Linked DNA regions of Danio rerio. The protein of the gene in region 2 binds, or shares a complex with, the protein of the main gene of each other region. Links are inferred from orthologs where the notes say so. Each region holds a gene or a part of one and is shown on either strand. Other genes may lie near its edges.

Region 1 (2,444 bases), on a different chromosome or scaffold from region 2:
AGCATCTAGATTGACAGATTTCCCTTGTCCTGTAAGGCTGAGCAAATATTGAATCTTATTCAATCTTTGCGTTATGTAGACTTAAAAACAGATGCGTCTGTTATTCAGTGATGTACTATTCAGCTTCATGTTGTGAGAACGAGATGTTCACAAATGACCACCGGGGTTACGCACGGCCTCTAAAGAGCACATGCACACACTGTTGGTCGCAACACATTGAATTGGTTAACATCTAGATTACATAAAATCATACAGTATTTAATAAAGACAAGGCATATGTGCCCGTGGTGTCATCTAACTTCATTTGGTTTTTAGTTCTTTTTAAAAGGCTATTGACATTTATGATTACAAGCTAAATTGCAAAACCTGATGGCTCGTTGCAAACGATTTCACTACTCGGTAACTAGATCTACACTTTCTATTCACTGGTTGGCTCATTGCTGTTCACTGAAACAAACAGGGTGCTTTCACAACAGCAAAGTGTGGTGTTTGTGTGTAAGTAGTGGTGTGTTGGTGTTTACATACAGATGCGAGCACAAAATGAATCTGTCAGACTCATCTCTTGTGCAGCAGCTTCTATATTCCAAAAACTGGCACCCTTCGCTTTATTCCCCAATGCATCCCACTGCAGTTTGTATTGGGGCCCTTGAGTTTCAACGCTCCTGACTGTCTTCAATCAGGGTGACGTATATGATGGGAACAAGGCCCTGGCTATCGCCCAGAGCACACATCAGCCAATCAGAGTCTGCCCTGCTGAGCACCTGCAGCACGTCACCTTTGTTGAAACTGAGCTGCCCTGGCTCTGTGGCAATATGATGGCATAACGCCTTCACTTCCCTGGAAGAGATGGAAAGAAGAGGGAAATATAGACAGCAAAGGGAAAGAAATTGAGAGAATTAGTTATGTATGGTAGCACTTGACATTTAACACTAATTAAATTACACAATTACAGAGATTTGCAAGGCAGCGCTAGACTAATATTAATCAACCTCCTACAGTTTGTTAGGATTTAGCTTCTGAACCGCCTTGAAAGCACTGGTTTACTTCTGAAAGAGTAAATCTAGTCGTATGTATTGTGTAATGACATTACCGTGGGGCTAGTGTCTTTGTTTGGGGACTCTGTGTTTGTGCTTGTTCAGTTGGGCCAAGGTTGGATTCTTGGCTTTGAGATGTAAAAGATTGTTGCTCCGCTCTTTTCCGAACTCCAACAGACTGAGCCACCAGATCCAACACAGAATGATCGATACTCAACCAACCTGAAGGCAATCTAAGGGGAACACAAGAGTGGAAAAGTTAGCTACATATTCATAATAAAAAGGCCTTTCCAAAAGGGTCAATGTGTAAAATCTACTCATTCTAAAATATCTAACATTTGGCTAGAAAAACGAATGAATATACAAACTACTAATGTAAACTAATTAAGTATCTTATGCAGGGGTGTCCAAACTTGGTCATGGAGGGCCAAAGTGCTGCATAATTTAGCTCCAACTTCCGTTAACATGCCTCCCTGGAAGTTTCTAGTATACCAAGAAAGAGCTTGATTAGCTGGTTTAGGTGTATTTAATTGGGGTTGAAACTAAAATATGCAGGACACCGGCCCTCCAGGACTGAGTGTGGACACCCCGGATCTAATGTGATATCTATAAAAACAGCCCAGAGGAACAATACTGATGGAACAGTAGCATCATTGCTTGTTGGTGTTCACACCAATATTGTTATATTTATTTTTATTGGTATAAGAAGCTATAGCTGATGAAAAGCTGATTATTCTCCATTGAAAAGGGATGAGTTACCTTTGTTTCCTGACTGATTTCTGTTCAATCTTTTCTTTCTTGCTTGCATTTCCAGCTCCAAATAGTCGTCCCCAGCGGAGCACTTGAGCCGTTCCATCCTCCTCTGCTTCTGGCTGGGCCTGAAGCCCTTCATTCGGATCCTGGCAATCTGGCTGCTTCTCCTTACTCTTTTTCAGCTCAGTGAGCACTGACTCCGGTGGACTTCCCATCCAAGATGGCTTCGCTTTTGTGGCTTTGGTGGGTTCTGACAAAGCTGATTGGTTTAGAACCCCACGGCCAATGCTATTAATATTGCTACTACTGGTCCGACCGTGTTCCACCTGTTCATCCATCTGCTGAATGGCCTCAGCTCCTTCAACAACACCTTCTCTAGGAGGTGGATGGCTTTGACGGTGATTCTCAACCCCTCCTTTCCTCCTCTTCTCCCACTTGACAAATTTCGACCCCTCGGCAGAGTTGTCAATGTAAACCTGTGAGCTTTGCATCAACTGATACCACCAGCCAGCTTGTCGGTTTCTCTGTTTGGTTGCATCTCCATCTTTTTCTCTCTTTTTGTCCTTCTCATTGTCTTCTCCAACTCCCTTCATTCTGGCAGCACAGCACCCTCCACCTTGCATCTGTCCTGTGTCACTCTTTCGCAAGCACTCTTTA
Region 2 (2,368 bases):
CCTCTAAGGTCTTTCTGTACATCCATGAGCCAAAATTATTAGAAGAGGACTGATCAAACAAAGCAATGATTGGATAAGATGGAAGATTGTCCCCTCAGGGAACCCCATAGGCCTTCATGGCCGATCTTAATTGCAAATATAAAATGAGAGAAGGTTCAGTTTTTTACCGCTCACTTAGTTCTTGAAAACTTAATATGCCATTAGAACCAAAAATATCTTTTAGCAAATAATTGCCTTTCTGCATCCATTTCCTTGAAAGAAATGGTGCACCACCGGATCGAAATTTATTTTATTTTATATACAAATGCATTACATCACATGTCATTAGAATACATTAATGTCTATTTTTGTAGTGTCTCTTGTAAAATAGTAAATTTGAAAAGTCATAGAAAACAACAAAAGCCAAATTAGTATTAAAATTAACTTTCTTTCAATCTACCAAATACACCCCAGGGTACGGGTCTGTACAAGAATTTTCAGAATTATGGAGAGCTAAAATACCGCAAATGCCCTCTGTAAAAACATAATAAAGGAAACAGGAATTCTTGTGATGGAAATGCAAAATATTTCATATTAAATATAAAGATGCCTCATTTGGACATTTTTTAATCAAATTTTATTGCTAATTTGTTATTTGCATACATTATTGATAGTCATTTTAATCCATCATTAAAAATCTTGATAACAGTGGAACACATCAGACAGCTTCAAATAGCGTGTTTGCTGGACCAGGCTTTTTATTGCCAGTGTAAATCCATGCCAATCAAATCACCTTTCCTTAAAAAAATACACGCGCACACAGACAAAACACTGATAAACAAACAACATGTAAACAAATGCTGATATTCGGCACATAATAGCAAATTATTTTAAATCCTCCTGGGTTCATCTAATCGCAGTGTTAACATAAAAAGTCACATTTCTCAACTGAAAACTTGCAAAGGTGATCCATTTGTCCATATTTCCTCCAACACCTCTGCTCTAACAGCATTTCTTCCCCTTCTTCCTCCTCTCTCTGTCCCTGTGGGAATTGATATGGACAGTGTCCTTTTCTCTCTCCCGCTCTCTTTCTGCTCGACTCTGGCTCTGTTTCTTGGCCCGAAGGACCATGTGGGTAAAAGCCATGAACATCTGAAAATCACAAACATTATGAAGTACTTTAATGCAAGTGGACAAAAGAAACATGTATATTCCGAAAAGCCTAAATACTTTATACGTAGTAGAGCTGAGCTGATAAGCGGTATTATATCTAATAATCACAATAAAATTTATGTCAGTAACATATTAAAAAAAAAAAAATTTTATTCACTTGACTTTAAACTAAAAGTGCTCCTTTTCATGCTTTTTGAATTTATCATTCGTCTATTTAATGTTTAATATTGCATTTGTGAGATTTAAAAATCTTTTGAATATTAAAGTAATAAATTCAATTATTGTCCCTAATAAGAAACTACAGATTCTGACAAGCCTGAAACGAACTGTCAGTAACAAATTTGCATGATTTCAGCCTGTAGACTTGATTTGTAGCTTGCAAGACCAGAGAACTGGTAGCTGAGTCCTACAAGTTTGGAGTCTGACTTGTGTTACTGACATGTTAGAAGAGCAAAATCATTTTTCAAAAGTAAAAGCATTCACACGAAAACTGACAAGGTAAAACCAACTGCTGAAAAAGCTGAAAGTTGAACATGGTAATGACGTTATGTTTTGACACTTGCTGTAAGAGTCACCAAAGCTTTTTTTTGCTAGCTAAAAACAGCAGCACTGTTCCAAAAACGCTCAGCTGAGAGCACTTTCCCAACTGTCAGAAAATAAAAATAATTTGTGAAAAAATTCCAGAATGCTCTTGCTACGCCTATGGCAAAAATGTGACCCTTCCACTGACAACAACAGAACAAAATGCTCAGCTCAAGAAAAAAAAAATGCTTTGTGGACCTGCGCCCTAAATGGTATACCGATCACAACCGCAACATTTGACCAATCAAACCAGGATAGCCTCTTCAAAAGGAGTTTATAAGAGGTCAGATCCTTGAATTAATCATTTCAGAAACTTTGAAAGAAAAAGGTGATGCTGCAATGAATATTATAAAAGGATATTGAAAAGTTTTTTTTTAACTTTGGACTAACTGTAGAAGAAACCTTAAAATAGCATAGTAGGAGCACTTTTAGTGTTGCAAAAATTAAATGAATTAGAGCTTTTATGGATAAAATGTAAACACAGGACTTCAATAAAATCTAAAAAGTTGAAGTATTTTTGAGAAAAATGAATGAATTTACAAATAAAACCAAACCTCTTCTACATTGATGTTCTCTTTAGCACTAGTTTCAAACAACCTCACGCCAACTGACTCTCCAAAGCGCATAGCATCCT
Region 3 (4,388 bases), on a different chromosome or scaffold from region 2:
ATTTGAAGGTGTGATATGCGAAGCACAGATGCTCTTGATTCTGATGGTAATTCATAATATAATAACACTAATACTGAAATGGTTAGGGATTTTTAGAATGACCAAACCAACATTTCAGATGTTTTACGATGTGCTTAGCTTGCTGATTTGTCCACTTACATGCATCTTTATCATCACATGGTCTCTCACATCAAAATCACATTACTTTTTTTTCATGCGCATACAGGAATTTGTTCAATAAGTGTTTCCATCGTAGTGCACATCTTTTATCAAATAAAATGTTTGTCCTACTCGATTATGTGCATATGGTTTATATGTGCATTTTCAAAACTTACGCGAATCTGCGAATCTTGCCGTTTACATCAACTGTGCGCAAATCCAAAATGAGTATAAAAATAGGTATATGGAAAAAAATTGTTTTATAATAATTTCTAAACTACAAAAAAAATGACGTCATGTTTTAGGATGAGGTCACACATTTATGTTTAATATGCTTTCAGTAGACATGAACAAGTATATGACAGCCAAAACAACAACATCAGAACACAAGACTAAATGTTCACAGGCATAAAGCATTTCTTAATTAAGTGACATCGCCACCCACTGGCCTGGCATGCATAATACTGTATTTTTAGTCATTTACACAGATCCAGAAGTGATTCATTTTGTTCAGAAAACTTTTTTATTTTTTTTAAATCTTGTTCTGAGTATACTCTTATCATGTAACTATGCTCAGTTTCAGAATTGTATGGCATAAACTGCTAAAAATCAAATTCTTAGAAAAAACGTCTGAATTCCTTAATAAAAAAAACTGCAGAATTTGAAAGACATAAACTTGAAAGTGAAAAAAATAGGCCAGAACTCTGAGATAAATAGTGGCAATTAACTTTTCATTTATTTTATTCCATGACAAAAACAAGCTCCCATATTTCACTGCACAGCAGTCATTACTTGGTCCGTTAAAGCTGTGTGGTTTCTATTCATCCTTGCAGAGCTCAAAACACACAAACGTGCTCACAAACCAAGATCGATATCACTGCATATCAACCAAAAAAAAAAAAAAGTCAACCAAAATGCATCTGCAGGTTTCTGAGAGCAAATGCAAGCCAAGTGAGGGTTGAACTGAAATGAAAATGTACTCAAGTCAGCCCATCAGGAGTGAATCTGACCACCCTGCGAATCTAACAGCAATAATTTCCTTCCCGTGAATCCCCCAGACACAAAACGCATCATTTACTCATCCATTTCAAGCACGGAAAACAGCTCAGCATATCAGCCAAAAATAAGAGCCATATATAAAAGCTGTCTAGGTTTCACAATACAGGATTTCAAATGGTACAAAGTTAGATAGCTATCACGACACACACTTAAATTTGTGTATTAAACCGTGTAGTTTTATTTAAGCAGCAATTCTAGATTACATAATGCAATTTGTCATAATATCAAACATCAGCCACCCTGATCTATATTTTACATCAATTCTATAAAGTTACTTTTGATTACAATGTCAGTCATGTACTTTGCACAATAAAAACGTCTCATATTATCACTTATAACTTATGAGTAGTGTTACATATGCCGACGTAAACATTGTCTTTAATGTCATTTTAAAGTCTGACAGCAAGGGAATTAGTGCTTTAAAAGAGAGGCTCAACCCTCACATAATTGCTAGTGTGTTTTGATGAAAAAAGTCAGACACTTGAACAGACACTTGCATATGCAAAACTTAACCAAATTGAGCAATGGAAAGAGGTAAAGTTGGTTTTTTATTCGCACATTCATTCATTTAGCAGTCTCTGTATTGTTTACCATGTTACTTTGATAATTCGATCGGAATTAGCATGCAAGCATGACATCTAAACAACATTTACACCATCCAATTCACTGTGAACAATGTTGTACTTTGATGGTCATTTGCTGCAAATATGTTTTCCCTATTTACAATTTTTCAAAGAATACTTTTCTAAAATTATTTTATTAAGAATTATGTCTGAATATCCAAATATAAAACCAACTTTACCTCTATGAGAAATGGGGGCTCACCTTCATTTTCAGATGATGGACACGCAACTTGAAGAGCCAAATCAAAAGTCCTTGCAGGATTCTCACTGGAAAAGGAAAACATAGTTTGAACTTAACGTTACTAACTTTAAAACAATTTATTTGACAAGCATTCACTCTCCTTCCAAACCAACTTGATTAAAATATACAAAAATAACCATAACACTGAACATTTGTCAACGTTTCTTCTTAGACTGAACACAAGTTACACGTTAAAATGCTTTTATTTTAGTGTGAACTATCTCTTTAAAATCTCGACATGCCATTAGACACTGAGCTATGCAGTCAGTTTGCTGCTGTGAATTCATAACACATACTATACAGTACACTTAAAAGCTATAGACACTAAATCAAGGCGTCCAACTTCATCAAAAATGAAATATATTCAGCTGTCAAGTTTAAATGGCTGTAGAGGAATGCGGCTAGGCTAGTTAGCATGTCTGAGGTAAACAGCTAACCGGTCAGCTGGACCTGTCATCTCTTCTCATTAGCCAAATTGGCTAACTAACGGATACGCCGCAGCCGCTGTGTTTATTTCAACCGAATGAAAGACTTTTATAACGGAGACTGATAACACAAAGCAGAGGAATGCGAAAGGTAAACAAGTGTCGACTTACTTTATCCTGCTGTCCATGGCTAAAGCATCGCGTCAGCAGCTGCTCGCGCCGACGGCGGGAAACTAAAACACCGTCGCGACACCGGAGCCACGCGCTTCTGGTTTTCACGGCTACCTGACGGAGAGTCGCGGATACTGCCGCATTTCTCGGTCTGTCGCCTGCCGGTGGCGCTTCCTGGACGCGTTCACTGACCGTTTCGGTTCCCCTGACTGACTGTGATCCTGCAATGAAGCACCAGGAAGCACCTGACTGTGCGCGTGCGTATGTTGTGAGTGCAACAGTAATGATGAGTCTAAAAATTCGTTATGCTGTAGTTTAAAAACAGTATAAGTTAGTGTCTGTGTGTGTTTGTAAGAAGAAAAAATGAAATGACTCCATTCACAGGAAATAAAAGGCAATGGAAGTGAATGGTGACTGAGCCTTGTAGTCCTTAAAGGGATAGTTCACCCATTCTGTCATCAATTTACTGACCCTCAAGTGAATACGTTTCCTTTTTTATTTATTTATATGAAATTTATAAATAAGTTATTTAAAATAATATTGGTTAAGACATACTGGAAACAAATGCACAAATTAGTTCAAAAGATTATTGGTAGCCCTTTTGTCTATCTCCAGCTATTTATCTTCTGAATTGTAAAACTGCTACACACCAGTCATGGACTAGAATCTTTGTTACACCATTGTATGTATCTAGCAAGAAAAATGTATTCTTATGTTGTTATCTCCTAACATTCATTCGGTCACTATGTGGATAGATCAGGGGTGGCCAACCCTGTTCCTGGAGAGCCACCTTACTGCAGATTTCAGTTGCAAACCATATCAAACACACCTGCCTGTAATTATCACGTGGTGTTCAGGTCCTAATTAATTGGTTCAGGTGTGTTTGATATGGGTTACTGAAATCTGCAGGAAGGTGGCTCTCCAGGAACAGGGTTGGCCATCCCTGGGATAGATCATCGAACCATTTTCTTACCCTTAGAAAAACTGACTTATATCCACACAGAATCTGTCCATAAAGAAATCCATAAATTAACGCAAATTTTTAGCCTATCATTGGATATATTTATTTATTTTTATTTTGTGTAAATGTGTGTAAAATTATATTTATTCACTTTTCATATTAATTACAGTAATATTATTGACTTGTTAATGTTACGATTTATTTAAAATACAGTTTGTGAAGTAATATTTCCTCTTTTAGTAGAGATATTATATGAGAGACTTGCTTTGTTTACCAAAAAAAAAAGTAGAGTTAATTGGATTTGCATTGTAAACATGCAATAAAAGTTAAAAAGGTATTATTTTTATGTCATATTAAGTTTTTAGTTATGATACTCCCAAAATCATTCCACGGAAATAGCAAAAAATGTCTGCCGATTCTGTCTGGTCCTACTTATAACTTGTGTACATATCTGTAATCCTATACCACTGTTCTGTCATTGCAAATCTTTAAATAAATGTCAAAAAAAAAAAGAAGAATATTGGAAGCCAGCAGCCATTGATATGCAAACAAAATTGTTACTCAACCTCCAGTCGTTTGCTTCATGAGACTTCAGTTTATCATTAGTTAGCATAAGACCAGGGGTGGCCAAATTTTTATGAAGGGCCAAAAAACAAATATCATTGACATTCATGGACTGTACTATGTATCATTAAATGCGCTATAGCTAATTAAATTCATAATATTCAAAAATAAATAGCAAATATTGA

Evidence for each region.
Region 1: the proteins of si:dkey-16l2.16 (region 2) and rusc2 are in contact, whole or in part, in a crystal structure (PDB 6IF2), measured with the Homo sapiens proteins. The link is inferred for Danio rerio from reciprocal best matches to the Homo sapiens genes RAB35 and RUSC2. Residues at the interface, in NP_006852.1 of Homo sapiens: Asp4, Tyr5, Leu8, Phe9, Lys10, Ser22, Leu26, Asp30, Ile38, Thr40, Val43, Asp44, Phe45, Lys46, Ile47, Lys58, Gln60, Trp62, Thr76, Arg79, Gly80, His82; in NP_001129471.2 of Homo sapiens: Val997, Lys998, Asn1001, Asp1005, Val1008, Thr1013, Arg1015, Lys1020, Glu1119, Glu1155, Leu1158, Leu1159, Gln1161, Pro1162, Leu1165, Leu1166.
Region 3: the proteins of si:dkey-16l2.16 (region 2) and dennd1b are in contact, whole or in part, in a crystal structure (PDB 3TW8), measured with the Homo sapiens proteins. The link is inferred for Danio rerio from reciprocal best matches to the Homo sapiens genes RAB35 and DENND1B. Residues at the interface, in NP_006852.1 of Homo sapiens: Lys10, Leu12, Ser17, Ser36, Tyr37, Ile38, Thr39, Thr40, Ile41, Gly42, Val43, Asp44, Phe45, Gln60, Trp62, Thr64, Ala65, Gly66, Arg69, Phe70, Arg71, Thr72, Ile73, Thr74, Ser75, Thr76, Tyr77, Arg79, Gly80, Thr81; in NP_001182144.1 of Homo sapiens: Met1, Arg4, Glu43, Ser47, Phe51, Val72, Leu73, Thr74, Asp75, Ile76, Glu77, Ser78, His211, Glu212, Arg213, Arg214, Gln242, His243, Ile244, Ile246, Leu249, His252, Leu253, Asp255, Tyr256, Cys258, Ala259, Pro260, Met261, Pro262.

The regions. Positions count from the first base shown.
Region 1 is NC_133180.1:20,052,026-20,054,469, reverse strand, and holds part of rusc2 (AP-4 complex accessory subunit RUSC2), read right to left. Parts: coding exon 1,794-2,444; intron 1,268-1,793; coding exon 1,091-1,267; intron 838-1,090; coding exon 654-837; 3' UTR 1-653. UniProt on the Homo sapiens protein: Associates with the adapter-like complex 4 (AP-4) and may therefore play a role in vesicular trafficking of proteins at the trans-Golgi network.
Region 2 is NC_133178.1:31,480,789-31,483,156, reverse strand, and holds the end of si:dkey-16l2.16 (ras-related protein Rab-35), read right to left. Parts: coding exon 2,289-2,368; intron 1,132-2,288; coding exon 982-1,131; 3' UTR 600-981; downstream 1-599. UniProt on the Homo sapiens protein: The small GTPases Rab are key regulators of intracellular membrane trafficking, from the formation of transport vesicles to their fusion with membranes.
Region 3 is NC_133197.1:23,103,465-23,107,852, reverse strand, and holds the start of dennd1b (DENN domain-containing protein 1B), read right to left. Parts: upstream 2,890-4,388; 5' UTR 2,696-2,889; coding exon 2,679-2,695; intron 2,109-2,678; coding exon 2,044-2,108; intron 1-2,043. UniProt on the Homo sapiens protein: Guanine nucleotide exchange factor (GEF) for RAB35 that acts as a regulator of T-cell receptor (TCR) internalization in TH2 cells. Acts by promoting the exchange of GDP to GTP, converting inactive GDP-bound RAB35 into its active GTP-bound form.